Linked DNA regions of Tamandua tetradactyla. The protein of the gene in region 1 interacts with the protein of each later gene in a biochemical or structural test. Links are inferred from orthologs where the notes say so. Each region holds a gene or a part of one and is shown on either strand. Other genes may lie near its edges.

Region 1 (7,318 bases):
ATGTAGATTATACCACCTGCCCTGTTTGTTAACTTTTATTTATTTTTCATTATCAGATCTGGGTTCTGCTTCCAAATATCCAGAGCAACATGCATTGCTTCTTTTCTCTGACTTCCAGTGGCTACCTTCTATTCACCTGCACCCACCCTGTTGAAATAAACACTAATTTAGCTACACTGTTATTATCTAGTTACCTCTCTGGGTGTCCTGGCTGGAACAAAGCCTTCTTCATTGTTCTCCTCATACACGGCTGCTGCCTGGCATATGATGGGTGCACCAAACATTATTTGTAAAATGAATGAATATTAGATTTTGGCTAATCTCATGTATGCATTCAAACTATTTTCACTCTATAGAGATGACTGTTTGGCATGTTCTAAATGGAAACTTACTTCACCGTTATGTAAATTTGTGGCTGCATCTCGTTAGTAAGTGGGGCATGCTTGGTCCACATAGCCTTCTGGAGTTATGGGCTAAGATGCTGTGAATGTCCCGCCACCCCCACTGGTCCTTCCGTTTTACATGTACACCTAAGATGGACTAAGGCATGAACATGCAAAACATGCCCCTAAATGTACCTCTGCCCTGAAATAAAATCAGCTCTTCTACTTTTTCATCTCTTTCAACCCCACGCCAAAAATCAACTTGATTTCATGCTGATTAATGAAAAGCGAAAGGCTTGATCAGGAGGCTAATTACTAGGTACAATGAGCAAATGTGATCGAAGTAATAACTGCTTCTGAAATGCCAGGTAAATTGCTGGCAAACAGAAAAGACTGTCTTTGAATTGTAATTTGGGGGTTAGGTGGGGAAGAGGAGTTGATTTTAATAGGACTACTGGGTTTTAAAAAAACAAGGAAAGAATTCAGCTGTCACCTCTGGTATGGAAATTAATACTAGCGTCAAAATTAGCTGAGCACTGAATATCAAGTAGGAAGTGCTGCCCAAATTAATTGAAATTAAAAAGATGCTTTATATATATAACTTCATTAAGCCAAATATTTTAGATATTAAAGAAAATTGCATTTACAATTAAATGTACAATTCACTTCCCAGTATAGTGTACAGTCAATACATAATTTATGTAAAACTTGTAGAAATTTAAAAATCTATTAACCTTGCACTCCAATCCTGCTTTCCCCAGCATAGCAAAATTATAATTATGCATCTCATTGCAACTATGTAATTTGTGAAAAAGTCCTTTCTGCTCCTGTTTTTCTTAATTCTATTGCCAAGTTTTAAGTTTAGTTAGATATTTTATATAAAACTTGTGCACATATTCATCAGTTAAGTTTGTATCAAAAAAATGGTTTGAAGTTTTTTTATGCAGCTAAAGTCAAGAAAGTCACACTTTTACACAAGCTATACAAGCTACAGAAACATTTGAATTTATATGTACACACATATATAAATATATACAAGTATCAGTTTATCTAAATCAGTCTCCAATTTAAGATCTGACTGGAGAGCTCTGATTTAATATGGAATTCTAAAGCAGCACAAAGAGAAAACAATCATAAGTCATTTCTCATTTCCCTTTGGCAAGTTTCACAATATGCGTGGAGAGAGAAGAGATAATGTTGACATGTGGTAGTAATAGTAATAATTTTATTTTTTCTATTTTATTATTTTAACAATAATAATAGTTATTTCATGCATATAAAGATGTATTGGCATGATGATGAATATGCAACTATGTGATGATACTGTGAATTACTGATTATGTATGTAGAACGGAATGATCAAAATTGGAATGTTTGCGTTTGTTATGTGTTTTTTGGTATTAAAAAAATAAAATAAAAATTAAAAAAAAAAGATGTATTGGGCTTCAGCTATTGGTCCGAGATGATGATATACAAGGAAAAAGGTATGAAAAAGGTTCCAGCTGGTTGACAGTTACGTTTTAAAGGCTATCTTTCCAACTGAAGCTAGCATATAGAGGAGGACACTTCTGATCACGATTTGAGTGGAAACACCCAACTTTAAGGGGCTGTCCCAACAGGAACTTTCCTGTCACTACCCCTTTCCCATCTCGAGCTTTAATCCCAGGAAAAAGATTCAACATGGCAAGCTTCAAGCACAAACTTTGCACTGGCTTCTCTGTTTCAGAGGAAAAGCAAAGGGTGGGAGGGTTTGGTTAGGTTTGCCGGAGGAAACCGGATCGAAAGGCAAGTCACAGGGGTCAGGGCGTGTGACCTGATCTCTGCCAAAGCCACTTGGACCAACTTGCTCCTGAGACCCAGACCAGGTAACCACGGAGGCCCCAGCGTCCCCGAAATCACAACGGCTCCGCCAGGTGGAAGTGGGGTGAAGGCCAGGCAAGGAGCAGACAGAAAAGCTCCTTTTTTACCCCAGAGAGCCATCTGGCAAAGCGCCAACACCGAGGTCTCTTGGCGCTGGACACCAAGCTGTTTCCACATCTCTGGGCTGCCTTCTCACCCAAAGGCACGGGAATTTGGGGTGCGAGGGGATCACTGATTCCCCGCGACTGCAACCCGTGACCGACGTGCAGAAGTTGGATTCTTACCGCACAGAATGGATGTCTGCGCTCCTTGCGCACGCAGCACCCAAGCCCAAGCGCGCTCCGGCGTCCTCTCATCTGACCCCCGCCCCCCAGCGGCTGCCACCCACGCCCTATGGGAATACCTATATTTTCCCCAAAACAATGCACACCCAGTTCGCGGGATGAAAACTTAATAAAGAACACTTGGACATTTGGAATGCTAAGAAGGACCAGGACGTGCATTCCAAATAAGACAGAAACAAACCCTTGTTTGTCGCAGTTATCTACTTCAGAGAATCAGGGATAGGAGCTTCTGATTTTAAGAATAAACCACTCTGAGGTGGCGACAGAGAGGCGGCCGGCCGCCACCGAACTTGAATGTTCTTTTGAAGACAGTTTCCCCCGCCCCTCCTGGGGTTAAAACCTGGGAAAAAACGCCCTTCTGCGTTGACTCCTTTTCGCCTGGTGCCAGTACCTGCGTCTTTGAATTTTTGACACGGCCTGGGAAGCACGCCGGGTGTTAGTTGGAGGGTTATCCGGTATATTAATGCCTTATTGATAATGGCAGAACATCCACAACTACTGGACACAACTCAGATTTTAAGTGGTGATATTTCTCTTCCGTCTGCTCCTATTCTGAGTGCAGATGGAACCCAACAGCATGGAATCAGAGTTTATGAAGCTATTAAAAATGATCACTTCAACTGCATTCTTTGTGATTTGCACATGTGAAGATTTCCTGAAGCTTTATTTTCTGTGATAGACCATTGTAAAATACCTGAAAGAAGCATGACTCTTACAGGTGCTAATTACTATTCATCTTTAAAGAGTGTTCTCAGTAATTAAACTTTAGTTCAGTTATTTGTTAATATGATTGAGTGTATATCATACATAAGCACACTTATAGTTTGCATAATGTATTGCAAAATTTAAATAACCTGACAGTATTTGTCATCCATATAACTTTTGAAACTTAGAATTAAGTCAATAATTTCTTTTTAGTTGATCCTATCATGTGGTGAAATGTTATCTAGTCTCAATATTTTTTGTGTGAATGTACAATATAAGAACTAATATCATATACAATATAAAACTAATGTGCATGCATTTTAACAGCATAATGAATTGACTTAGACATATTACAACAATTTGTATAAGAAAGCTTATTCTGAAAGTGGTTAAAAGGGAAATGTTATATTGAATATACGGTAATAGGATAAAATTTTTAAAAATCCATAAAACTTGGTGATGAATACACAACTATGTGATGATACTGTGAACCATTGATTGTATACTTTGAATGGACTGTATGGTGTGAGGATTTCTCAATAAAAATATTAAATAAAAATAAACCACTCCCGGCTGAACACAGCAGTGACAATTTTGTACCTGCAGGGATGTGCACCCACAGATTCACACCTATGGGTTGTATGTATATGTCTTCAATCTTTCATCCATCTAGGAAAGTTTTGGATTCCTTCACCTGTACGGTGGGCCTTCCAATTCAAGGGCCCTCCCCACGTGGCCAGCCCACCTCCCACTTCCGGGCCTCGCCAGTGTCTCCCCCTCCCCACTTCCCCATCTCCCCAACGTCCCCAGCCTCATCGCTGCCACCCGCGTTCCTTCCTCTTCCTGGGCCACTCTCTTTGCGCTCCCGGACCCTTCGCGCCATGGCGACGGCAGCGGTCCGGGAAGGCCTCCCGTGGGGGCCGCGGGCACCCCGTGTGCCCCGAAACTCCAGATCCCTTCCGTGGCCCGCCGCGCACCATGTCCCGGGCCCCAGGCGGGCCAGGCGTGGCCCCGGGAGCGCGCAGGCCGGGGAGTGACCGAAGGCGGGCCGCCACCATGAACAGAGCGCCGCGGTTCCACCCCGGGGTCTGCCCGCCACCCCCGGCTGCGGTCTGCGAGGACGCCTAGGTGCGTGGCCAGCGTTGGGGAGCGAGCGGCGCCCTCGGGCCGGAGCGGTCGGTGGGGCCGCGTCGCTCTCCCGAGCCAGAGTTCGCAGGAGCTGGCCGCGGAGAGACGTTGGCGGGAGGAGTTCGCGGCTGTTGGGGGAACCGGTCCCGGGGCCACCGCGGGCCTGGCCATCGCGGGCCGGATCCTGCCTCCCGCCCGGGCCGGACGCGCCGGCGAGACGCGCAGCGGGTGCCGGGTGCCGTGGCCCGCCCGGGACAGCCCGGCCGAGCAGCAGGAGCTGGGCGTGCCCGTTGACCCCGGCGAGGTGGCAGCCCCGGGCGCGTCGGGTGAAGGGGTCGCGATGGAGACGCGGGCCCCGCGTGCGCCCGCTGCGGTTGGCATGGGAGCGGCCACGCGAGTCCCAGCGACGCCGCCAATTGGGGCCCGAGCGGAGCGGGTGGGGGGACAGGCAGGCCCGCTCAGCGCCCGGGTCGCTGCGGGAGTCGGCGCCCCGCCGGAACCCAAGCCCCGCCCACGCCCCGCCCCCTCGGGCGCCCCTGCCGCCCTGCTCCTGGTGGGCGCTTGCTGATTGTTCCAGACACACACCTCCACCTAACACCTCCATCTAACACACCTCCATCTAACGCCGAGGCGAGCGGGGCTGTCGGGGCCTCCAAGCAGGTTTGGGGGCCTCAGTCCGGTGGGAGGAGGGCTGCGGAGCAGCACCTGCGTGGCACCTGTGTAGGGGACACCCATTCCCGCAGTGCTGTTTCCTGGGCCTTTGGTTGGGAATCAGGGGGCATGAGCTTAGGGCAGGGAGAGGCTTGTTGGTTTTGACCCCAGGTTACCTGGGAATTGCTCAGTGGTCCTGCCTCCAGCAATTGGAGGTTTCCAGGGCTCTGATGCCTGGTGCTGCTGCTCGCGTCCTTCCAGCCCTTCCAGCTGCTAGGGGAGCCTAGCCTCGATGCTCTGCCTCCTGGCGATCCGCTGCGCCCTTGGAGCCGGGTGGGGGCGGTTGGCTAACTCGGTCGCCCCTCCTCTCTCCTGGCAGCCACCAGTGGTGATGGAGGGCAGGCATCAGAACAGCTCCAGGAGCCGTATCATCCTGGCTCCAGCAACCCTTGGCCCCGACGCCTGTCAGATGGTCACCAGGGCCCAGCTCGGTCAGGACGCCCCCCAGAGGACCGTGCTGGGGGTGCTCACTGAGAACGGGCAGTACAGGACCTGGGGCCAGGTGAGAGCAGCCCTGGAGCCCCGTGGAGCCCCGAGGACTGCCCTGGAGGGTTTCCAACCCTGAGTCATGGGGCTAGTGGGAAACCCAGTTTCAAGGGTGGCCTCGTCGGGCCCCATTGCCAGCTAGAAATAGTGAACAACCTCCTTTGTTATTTTTCCAAATTTAACTGAATCTAAGGATCATTTGTTTTAAGTATATGTGACTAATTCCAGTTCTAAGCTAAAAAAAAATGTGTATTGACAAAACCATGGATCTGGGTTCTTTCAAGCCTGCTGGGGAAGGGGAAGGGCGGGACGGGGTGGGGGGGCGCAGCCCTGCACAACCTTGGCTTGTTCACCTTAGACAGGGTTGGAGACAGATCGGTTCTGCCGACTGGATTCACAACGAAGTCTGTGCTTTGAGAGCAGCTGCCTCCATGCTCTGGCCAGAGCACTGGGCTACCAAGCAGTGTGCTGGTAGCAGGCCTGGCTGATCTGACTATAAGTTCATCCTTAACTGATTTCAGTTCAGACCCTTACAGGACACCTAAGAATGAATCCTGGAACAGGGAAATGCTTCCCCAAGTCTGTTATCAGACAGGCCCTTTCATAGTGGTGCCTTAAAAACCTGTGTTGCACATCTGAGACAGAAGCCAGGAGCTTCCCAGGCAGCTTCCATTTTAGAGTTGAGAAATTTTGAAAGGCTTGAGAAAGACCAAGACCCCCCACCCACCCAAATACATATATGCATTTTATATATACAGTGGAGGATAATTAGAAGCCCATCTATCAATTCTTTGTCATCTGCCTTTTGTGGTATCTGACCAGTGGACGGAAATAACTAAAATGTACTGCTCAAAGCTTTGGAGAAACTTGAGTGAATGTGATTTTTTAAAAAAATCAGAGTCTATTATTTTATTTGTACATTGCTCCATTTCTCACAGCAATAAATGAGATCACTTACTATGAAAACAGAGGCGTGAGTTGGATTTAGCCCTATTAAGTCAAATATATGACAAATCAAAATGTGAAAAAAATCACCACATTTAAATTATTTGTTGTATCACCAAAACAAAAGAAAACATTAGTCCATTTTGGATAGAGAGCAAAGACTCTTTACAATGCTTTACTTAAGTCTTGGTCCTCCTTTGCAGAACCAAACCAGTGGCTCTTTCTTGCATCCACTCTAGCAAAAGCATGATTTTCTTGGGTGTAAGTGATCCCTGAAAGCCCAAAGAAGTCTGGCACCAAGCCAGGCATTTGGTATATTCAATCACATGATGAGAGAAGCCAGTGTGCCCATTTGCCCATTTTATATATTGCCAAAACAGGCCCAGGTGCTATGCTAAAGAATGACTCTGGTTTTCAGAAAACTACAATCTACTTACACAATGATCTCTAGTCTCTGAATTTGATGAAGAAAGGTTCTGATTTTTTTTTAACCCACAAACAAATCACTTTAATTCTTTTGCTTTTTTTTAATTTTAAACATTTATTTGTGATATAAATAACTCCTTAATTGCAATTAATCAGTTTTAACTATTCTGTTGGCAATTTGTCACAAATAAATGAAAGAACGTCTTTATAATTATACTATAATTATATATGGTTTACATTATGGTTCACAGTTTGTGTTGTATAGTACTATTTTGCTGTTTTAAATTTTTATTCCAGTAACACATAGACACCTAACATTTCCCCCTTTAA
Region 2 (7,952 bases), on another chromosome or scaffold:
CTCCAAGGTCAAGGGCACGTACTCTCACTTAATGCTACCTGACCGACAGGCACTGAGTGCTGGCGGCGGCCTGTCAGCTCCAGGGCAAGGTCTGGGGGAGGAAGGCTTTACACTTCTATACTTTTGAAAAAATCAGGCACTTCCACCCTACTCTTCTTTTTAATTTTAATTAAATGTGGTTATGGGTGGTTTTTTTCCTTCATCCTCTTTCTTTTAACAAAAGTTTTAATGTTTCAAAAGGTACACCCCCCCAAAAAAGGTTAAGGTTTCACCCAGAATGTTATCATTGACACTCAAAACCAGACTCCCATTTCATGTTTTTCTTCTGGATTTAACAATTTTTTTTAACTTGCAGAATACCCGCAACCTGTATGGATAGAGTAGGGATTAATGCTGATGATAAATGTAATCATTATGCACGGATTATAACAGGATTTTAAGAAAGTACTAACTTTCTGGGGAAAAAAATTAAATCATTATCTCAGTAAGTATTTCCATTTCTGCATATTCCTTTTCAATCTTTGCCTACACACAGGCAGAGTCAGAGAATTATGGATTATTTTATTCTAGAACAGGCAATTTTCCAAGTTGCTCCAAAAGCCTCATAATTTTAATGGCTGGGAAAATGGGGTTCACACTGCTCACCTCCAGGGATGTCAGGTGCCCACGGAAGGTTAGTAACCTTCCAACGCCATGCATCAGGGCCCTACACCAGGTCGCCTTCATAACGTGTACTCTTAAGTCAGGAATTCGTAAACTGAGAAAAGCCTAGACATCTCCAAATGACCAAGGCGATCGCAGGACTTGTGCCCAGAGGAAGGAAGAAGGCTTCCTTTCATGTCCATGTTCTTTTCCCCTTCTTCGCTAGAACCTGGCATCACTTCCTAGAGTCGCTCTACAGCACAACGGAAAAACTGTCTCAGAATGTAGGCTCTTAGGCTGCAGCTGTCTGTCTCCTCTACGATTATCTTGGGTCAGCAACATCTCTACATCCACAGAGGACCAGATGTGGGTTGGCAATGGAGGGCCTTAATGAGTGTTTGCTCAGGGAATGGCCGGATACACAAAAAATGAAAAAACATGTGGAACTGCTGCCTATTAGCTGACAAGAAATGTTCAAGCAAAATTTTTACAAACAGGAGAGGAAGCAAGCTTGTTTAACTAATCAGCTTCATCCCGTCATTTGCACCCCACTGTACAGGGTCCTTCCATCACTGCAAAGTAGCAGGCAGAAAATTTACAAAATATTAAAAGCAAAACGAAACTGGCTTAAGCTGCCCCAAACTACTTGTTGAAAGAAATCGCCTCTGCTTCTCCAGCAACACAGCATGGGGTGTAGCTTCTAGCGGGAGCTCAACAAATGTTCCCTAAAGGGTTAAAGGTGTGTCTGCCTGGAACTGGTGCCTCAGGGCTCTGTTAATGGGACAGCATCTCAGACAGCTGAGGGAGTCCTGTGAGATAATATACTCACAGGACATGGTGCTGGCTGTCCCCTTCATATGCGCTACCATTACTCCCATTTAACAGATGTAGAAGTGGAGGCGCATAGTGTTAAGCCACTTGCCATTTCAGTCCCACATATCCTTTCTTTTGCTTTGTTGTTTGTGCTTGGCTCTGTTCCAGGGCCAGGGTGAGTCAGAGCCTAAGGAGGAACAAGGGCACTGGGGTGGATAATTACAGTAAATGGCCAGGAAACCAGCTAAGGGTTGTGGGGGTACTAGGATGGGGACCCATCCCCCACACAGGAGGTGGGGGGAGGTTACTCCACTAAGCTTCAGGGGAGATGCAACTGCGGAGAAACTGGGGATGGAGTGGGGATAGTCACTTCCTGGAGCAATACTTCCTGAACCAAAAATCAGACAGGGTCTGACAAGTGCCCCAGTACTTCCAGGGACCAGAAAACTACTCCTGGCAATTGGACGGGCCCTAGGATACTGTGGCCTGAGGAAGACAGTCCCTGTGTCAGGGACCTTGCCACTGCCCAGGGATGGGACTTCCCTGCTAAGAGGCACTGCAGGGAAAGCCAGCTATGAGTCAAGGTCTGTAACCTCCACCCAGAAGGTGAACACCACCATCTGCAGTGGGTCTAAGGTTTGTCTGGGCCAAACGATTCCAGGGAGGGAACGGGGTGGAATACCACTGTCCCCTGACTCCCAGATTGGCCAAAAAGCCCAGAGCTCAGGCCCCAGGCACACAAGTGTGACAAAGGGAACTGGGGCCCATGGACCCGGCTCCAAGCTCGACTCTGCCAATTATCCTCCGAGTGAATAAGTAAGAGACCGCAGTTCCTGCCTTTACCCCAGGGGCTGCTGGCTCCCAGCGGACTCCATACACATCTGGCTCTCTTCCCCTCACCTGCAAACCTAGATGCCAAAACTCCCCGAGTAGAACAGGAAGAGGGGTTTCTGCAGCTAAACCTGTCCGGGCCCGGAGCCCAGATGGAGGAGACAAAAGAGCCCCCGGCCAGCACCCTCCTCGGGCCGCGGCAGAGGGTTTGGGGTGCTATGCTTCCCGGGATGCTGGGTTGAAATGCCCACCCGCAAATGTGCACGTAACTGAGGTCTGAAGGATGTCTTCCAGGTTTTAACCTCCCACTTTACTGTGACTCGAAGGGTCACTTTCCCTCTCCAGGGATCGCTTCCTTCCCATGTAAAAGCCTTTCCAGCTGACACCGGCCGTCCCACCCCCACGCCGTAATTAGGCGGGAGACAAAATGACATCATGCAGGGCCTGGCCCGGGTCCCAGGAGACCCGCCCGCCACGGCTCGGAGACTGAGGAGGCCCGAAGAGCGGAGCGAGGGGCTCCCGAGAGCCCCCCGGTTTCGCGCGCGCCCGTGCCTCTGACCGCCCAGGCGGCAGCATTTCCCGCGGAAACCCCCACAGAGGGATCACGGCGAAGGCATGGGTGAAGGTGGGGAAGGTGGGGGGAGGGGAAGGGCAGGGGACCCTCAGCCCGCCCTGCCCTGCTCACCCGCGCGTCCGCCGAGACATCCCCCCGGCCCGGGCCGCGCTGCGCCCGCCCGCCCGCCGGCTGAGCCAGGAGCCGGAGCGGGAGCCGGGCCGAGGCCGGGGCCAGGACGCGGGCTGCTCCGGCCGCTCGGGGCCCCCGGGCCGGGCTGGGCGCCGTCAGCTTGTCCGCAGGTCCCGCCGCCCGCTTGCGGGGGCAGCCGAGCCGCCGGCGCGCACAGAAGCACTTTCCTATCTCGCGCCAAGCGCGACGGCGCCTCCGGGGCCTGACGCGCGGGCGGGAGGACGTGCGTGGGGGGCGGGGCCTGCGGGCGGGGCGGGGCCACACGGGCCCGGAACCCGAGAACTTCAGAGCCCCCGGGCCCCGGGAAAGCGTGAGAGTGGCAGGCGTCTTGGAACTTGCCATTCGCCGCGGGCTGCCGTGTGACTGATGCCTGGCTCAGGCCGAGCGCGAGGGAGGCTCCACGACGGATAGTCACGTCGGGCACACTGTCTGTGCAAAAGCCCCAGTAGTCCGAGTGGCGCTCCTGGGTCCCCACAAGCCCCTACCTGGACCAGGGCTGCTCCTTCGTCTCCGTTTCCTCTCCAGCCTCGAAGTCTCCTCGTAGCCCAACCGACCCTTTTAAAATGCAAACTTGACCTTCCGTCTCCGAGAACTTGAAGCCCTCGCTTCTCTTCCTCCGGGTAAATTCCTTACTCCCTATTCAGTCTTACAGGATTCTGCGCGATCACCGCCCTCCCCTCCCGCCCGGGGCCAAAGGAAAATTCCTAGCCTTCTTGCCATTGCTTGGACCAGAGACACTTTCCACCCCTCCAACTTGGCCAGTTCTTATTTATCTTTGCTGCCCATTGCCCGCAATCTGCTTGTTCACTTGCGTGATTCCCCCTTTGAACTGTGAACATCTGGGGTTAAAGGCCTCTGGAGCCCCCTCGCTATCCCCAGGCTCAAACCTTGGCCAAGGCCCCATGTAAACGTCTATCGAGCTGACTCTAATTTTTTACCTACTTAAACTCCTAGAAGTATAGAGAGGATTTGCCATGAGTTGCACCCAGGACTCCCTGGTAGTGCTGGGGCCAAAGTGAATGAACTATGGGGCAGGAGCTTGGGAGACCCTGCTTGTGCTATGGATCCCTCTTTCAGAAACTGCTGGCCACCTTGGCCAGTCTGGCCAGCAGCGGCACACTTACCACAGCATGAGGAAGACTGACATGGTAAGTGCTAGAACCTTCCACATCACTTCATTCAGAGCTCCTCCCACCTCAATGTAATTACTTTTCTCATAAAGTAATTCATGTGGACACCCCCTCTTCACTGCTGGAGCATAATTTAAGAGTTCCGGCTCTCAACCAGACTGCTTGGAGTTTGGATCCCAGCTCCACCACTTACTAGTGGAAAATCACTCTTCTGTACCTCAGTTCCCTCATCTACAAAAATGGGATTTACTGGGGGGTGCAGGGGTAGTTCAGTGGTAGAATTTTTGCTTGCCATGCGGGAGACCCGGGTTTGGTTCCTGGTCCATGCACTTCCCATAAAACAAATAAACAAATTCAACAAGTGGTGCTGCAATGACAGTATACATGGAAAAATAATGACATATGACCCCGCCATATAGCATACACACAAAAAAGGCATTTATTAAAAACTTCAATAGCTATTACTCTGTACCAGCCACTGTTCTGTGTGCTTTATAAACATTTATTCATTTAATCTCTATAATAACCCTATGGGGTAGTCATTAGTTTTATCCCCTTTGGGCAGATGGAGGAACTGAATCACAGGCTTCCCCAAGGTCACACAGCTAGTGAATCGCAGAGTAGGGATTCGAAACTGCACTGTCTAGCTCTAGAGTCTATGCTCGTAATCACTTCACTGGTATCCTCTGTAGGGTGGTTGTAAGATTGAATAAATTAGTATGTGCAAAGCACTGAGGACAGTCCCTGGCACATAATAAGTACCCTATTACTATTAGCTTTTATTATTGTAACATTTCTGCTACCCTCACTTTTTCTTTTGAGGTCCAGGGAGCCCTTTGCACACACCACACACTCTTATGTGGACAGGGATGGACAAGACCTGGCAGTAGATTCAGGATATTTGCCCAAAGCAAGAGGCAGGAAGCAACTGAAGTCCACCTGGAACCTAGAACTGAGGCCCCTTGACCAGTCACTGGAGTGGGAGGGGCCTGGAGTCGGTACAGGTGTTCAGGCAGCAAGGAGATCATCCTAGTGCCAGCTGAAATCTGGTAATCTCCACCAGTATATTGTCTCTAGTTATCATACCAACAGGCACCTCCTCCCCACCCCAAGAAAGAACTCCCTGCATCCTGGATGTAGCTTCACCAGGGAATGGTCCCTGGGCCCAGAATTAATAACACACAAACTGTACTTTGCTGGCAGACTTCCTGACCATGCCCTTCTCAGGCAGGGAGGCATCAGCCATTTGGTCATTCTACAGTCTGCCCCTGGAAGACAAGTCTGCTCCACCCCAGGTCCCAGACCCAAGCCTTGCTCCTGCATTGGGAAGTCAAGGATCAAATCTATTTATTAAATGCTCAGGGCCTCGCACCAGGCTGGACATAAAAAATGATGAGTAGCATCCCATGGCCCTTCTGCCTGGAGTCTTTCCCTCTCTACCTACTGAGCACCCTCCTTGTCATATGTGTCCTCCTAACTACACTTACTCTACCCCCAGTTTTGTGGTTCTCTCCAGTGCAGAGGGCAATTCCACAATCATATTTTTAGCTTCAGACCTTTACCCTATTGCTTGACTCTTGGCAGGTAGTCATGGAAGGAGTTTCACACATTTTTTTAATTTGAGTGAATTTAATGTTACAAACTAACATTTCAGGTGGAGAGTTAGGAAGGCAGGGACCAGAACTGAAAGGACCTGGAATGCTAGTTTGAACTTTATCTTGTGTGGTATAGAACATTGAGAGAGACTTTGAAACAAAGGACTGTTTTTCAGTAAAACACTATTTGCAAATTAGTTATATTGTTTGAGTTCCAGAAAAGGAACAGCAAAGTATTCAGTTCAGAAAATAATAGCTTGATATTACTGGGGAAGAAAACATGTGCCAGATATTACTGGGGAAGAAAACGTGTGGCACATGTTCTACAGTCATCTTGCATTTAACGCTCACCTCAATGTGAAGCAGGGACTATGTGGTTCCCTATTTTAAAGATAAAGAAACTTGGGCACAAAGATGTTAAGTTGTCATGATTACCCAGCTTGCAGCAAAGCACCCACAATTTGAAATGTTTATTTGGAAAGTACTGTTTGTGAAAATATGCTGAAATAATTGAGGCTAGGCTATCATAATGAGATAATCCAAACCATGCATACTCTCCAGAAACTCACCAGCTGATAGGGGAGACAAGGAGTAAAGAGAAAATTAGCCATTTAAGGGTGAAGATCAACTACAAGAACTGTGGGTGCCTAACCAAGAGCAGATTTGAAGGCTTTTCGAAACTGAGTGACTTAAGGAATTTGCAAGGTAGCCATTGTGGGGAATAGTACTTCATGCAGAGGGAGCAGCCAGTGCATAGCAGGAAGGATTAGGAAATACTCAGGGATTGGCAAGAAAATGAAGTCATTCTTGACTCTTCTCTCACATCGCTTTCATCTGATCTATCAGTAAATACTATTGGCCTCAAACCCTTATCTTCAAAATATATCTAGGTGCAAAACACACATAAAAAGATACTTAACATCATTAGTTGTCAGGATGAAAATTAATACCAACTGGGATTTATAAACCTGTTAGAATAGCTAAAATTAAAAAGAGTAATGTTAAATGTTGGTGAAGATGGGGAGTAATTATACTTCTTGAATATTTTGGGTGGGAGTATAAAATTGTACAACCACTTTGAAAAACACTTTAGTGGTTTGTTAAAGACCACTTTGGAAAACAATATAGCAGTTTCTTAAAGACTTAAACCTATATCTACCATATGACCCTGCCATTCCACTCCTAGGATTATATAAGAGAAATGAAGGCTTATGTCCATACAAAGACTTGAACATAGCTTTATTTGTAATAGTTTCAAACTGGAAATAACCCACATGTCCATCGACAGGTCGTTGGATAAATAAATTGTAGTGTATCCACACGATGTAGTATTACTTGGCAAATCTCAAATTATGCTAAGTGAAAGGAGTCAGACAAAAAGAGTATATAGTGTATGACTTCATTTATTTAAAATTCTAGAAATTGCAAAATAATCTATAGTAATAAACCAATCTAAAGTGACAATGGTTGTCAAGGAAGGAAGGAAGTTTTGGTGGGTAACGGATTTGTTCAATTTTCATGTCCTTTAGGGTCAGTGACCAAAGGATGGATGATCAACCTTGCCTGGGGTTGTCCAGGCTCATGCCAGCTTTGGCTGTGTACTCTATTGCAATTGTTAAGTGTAAGAACTTTGGCGATTGGGCTTTAATACCACGTGCAGTCACACACCCCTGACCTCTCTACCTTAGGCCTTCTGGGGCATCAGCTTTCGCAAAGACTTAGTTCGTTTTTTTTTTTCCCCAGGTGCATGGTCCAGGAATCAAACCCGGGTCTCCCGCATGGAAGGCGAGCATTCTACCACTGAACCACCCGTACACCCAAGACTTGGTTCTTTCAATTGCAGCATGACCACTTGCAGTTCAGCAATCAAGCACGAAGGGCTCGCGGGGTACGAGATTTAAGCGGAAAATCAGGGAGGGAACCGGGCGGTGCAGGACACCAGGTCTTTGTCCAGAGGCCGGTGGAAATCATCCTCGTCTCTCTGAGAAGATGGAGAGAGAAAAATCAAGTCTTAGAGTCAACCCGGCGTCTCTTGCCACCCACCGGGTGACTGGGGGCAAGTGACGTGACCAGCTTTGAGGCTCCTGGCGAGTAGGTGGAGCCGAACTCCACCATCAACTCTAGCCCGAGCACAGAGCTCTAGGGAGCCCGCTCGCCGGATCGAGCCCGCGCGAGGCATCACGGGAGTCGCACCAC

Evidence for each region. The genes of interacting proteins can lie anywhere in the genome.
Region 2: the proteins of CCNA1 (region 1) and MYBL2 form a complex in vitro, tested with the Homo sapiens proteins (2 studies listed by BioGRID, with this or other methods). The link is inferred for Tamandua tetradactyla from reciprocal best matches to the Homo sapiens genes CCNA1 and MYBL2.

Annotation. Positions count from the first base shown.
Region 1 is NC_135330.1:103,227,369-103,234,686, reverse strand, and holds the start of CCNA1 (cyclin-A1), read left to right. Parts: upstream 1-4,300; 5' UTR 4,301-4,420; intron 4,421-4,913; exon of another isoform or gene 4,914-5,080; intron 5,081-5,450; 5' UTR 5,451-5,462; coding exon 5,463-5,633; intron 5,634-7,318. UniProt on the Homo sapiens protein: May be involved in the control of the cell cycle at the G1/S (start) and G2/M (mitosis) transitions. May primarily function in the control of the germline meiotic cell cycle and additionally in the control of mitotic cell cycle in some somatic cells.
Region 2 is NC_135327.1:8,518,807-8,526,758, forward strand, and holds the start of MYBL2 (myb-related protein B), read right to left. Parts: upstream 3,021-7,952; 5' UTR 2,992-3,020; coding exon 2,972-2,991; intron 1-2,971. UniProt on the Homo sapiens protein: Transcription factor involved in the regulation of cell survival, proliferation, and differentiation. Transactivates the expression of the CLU gene.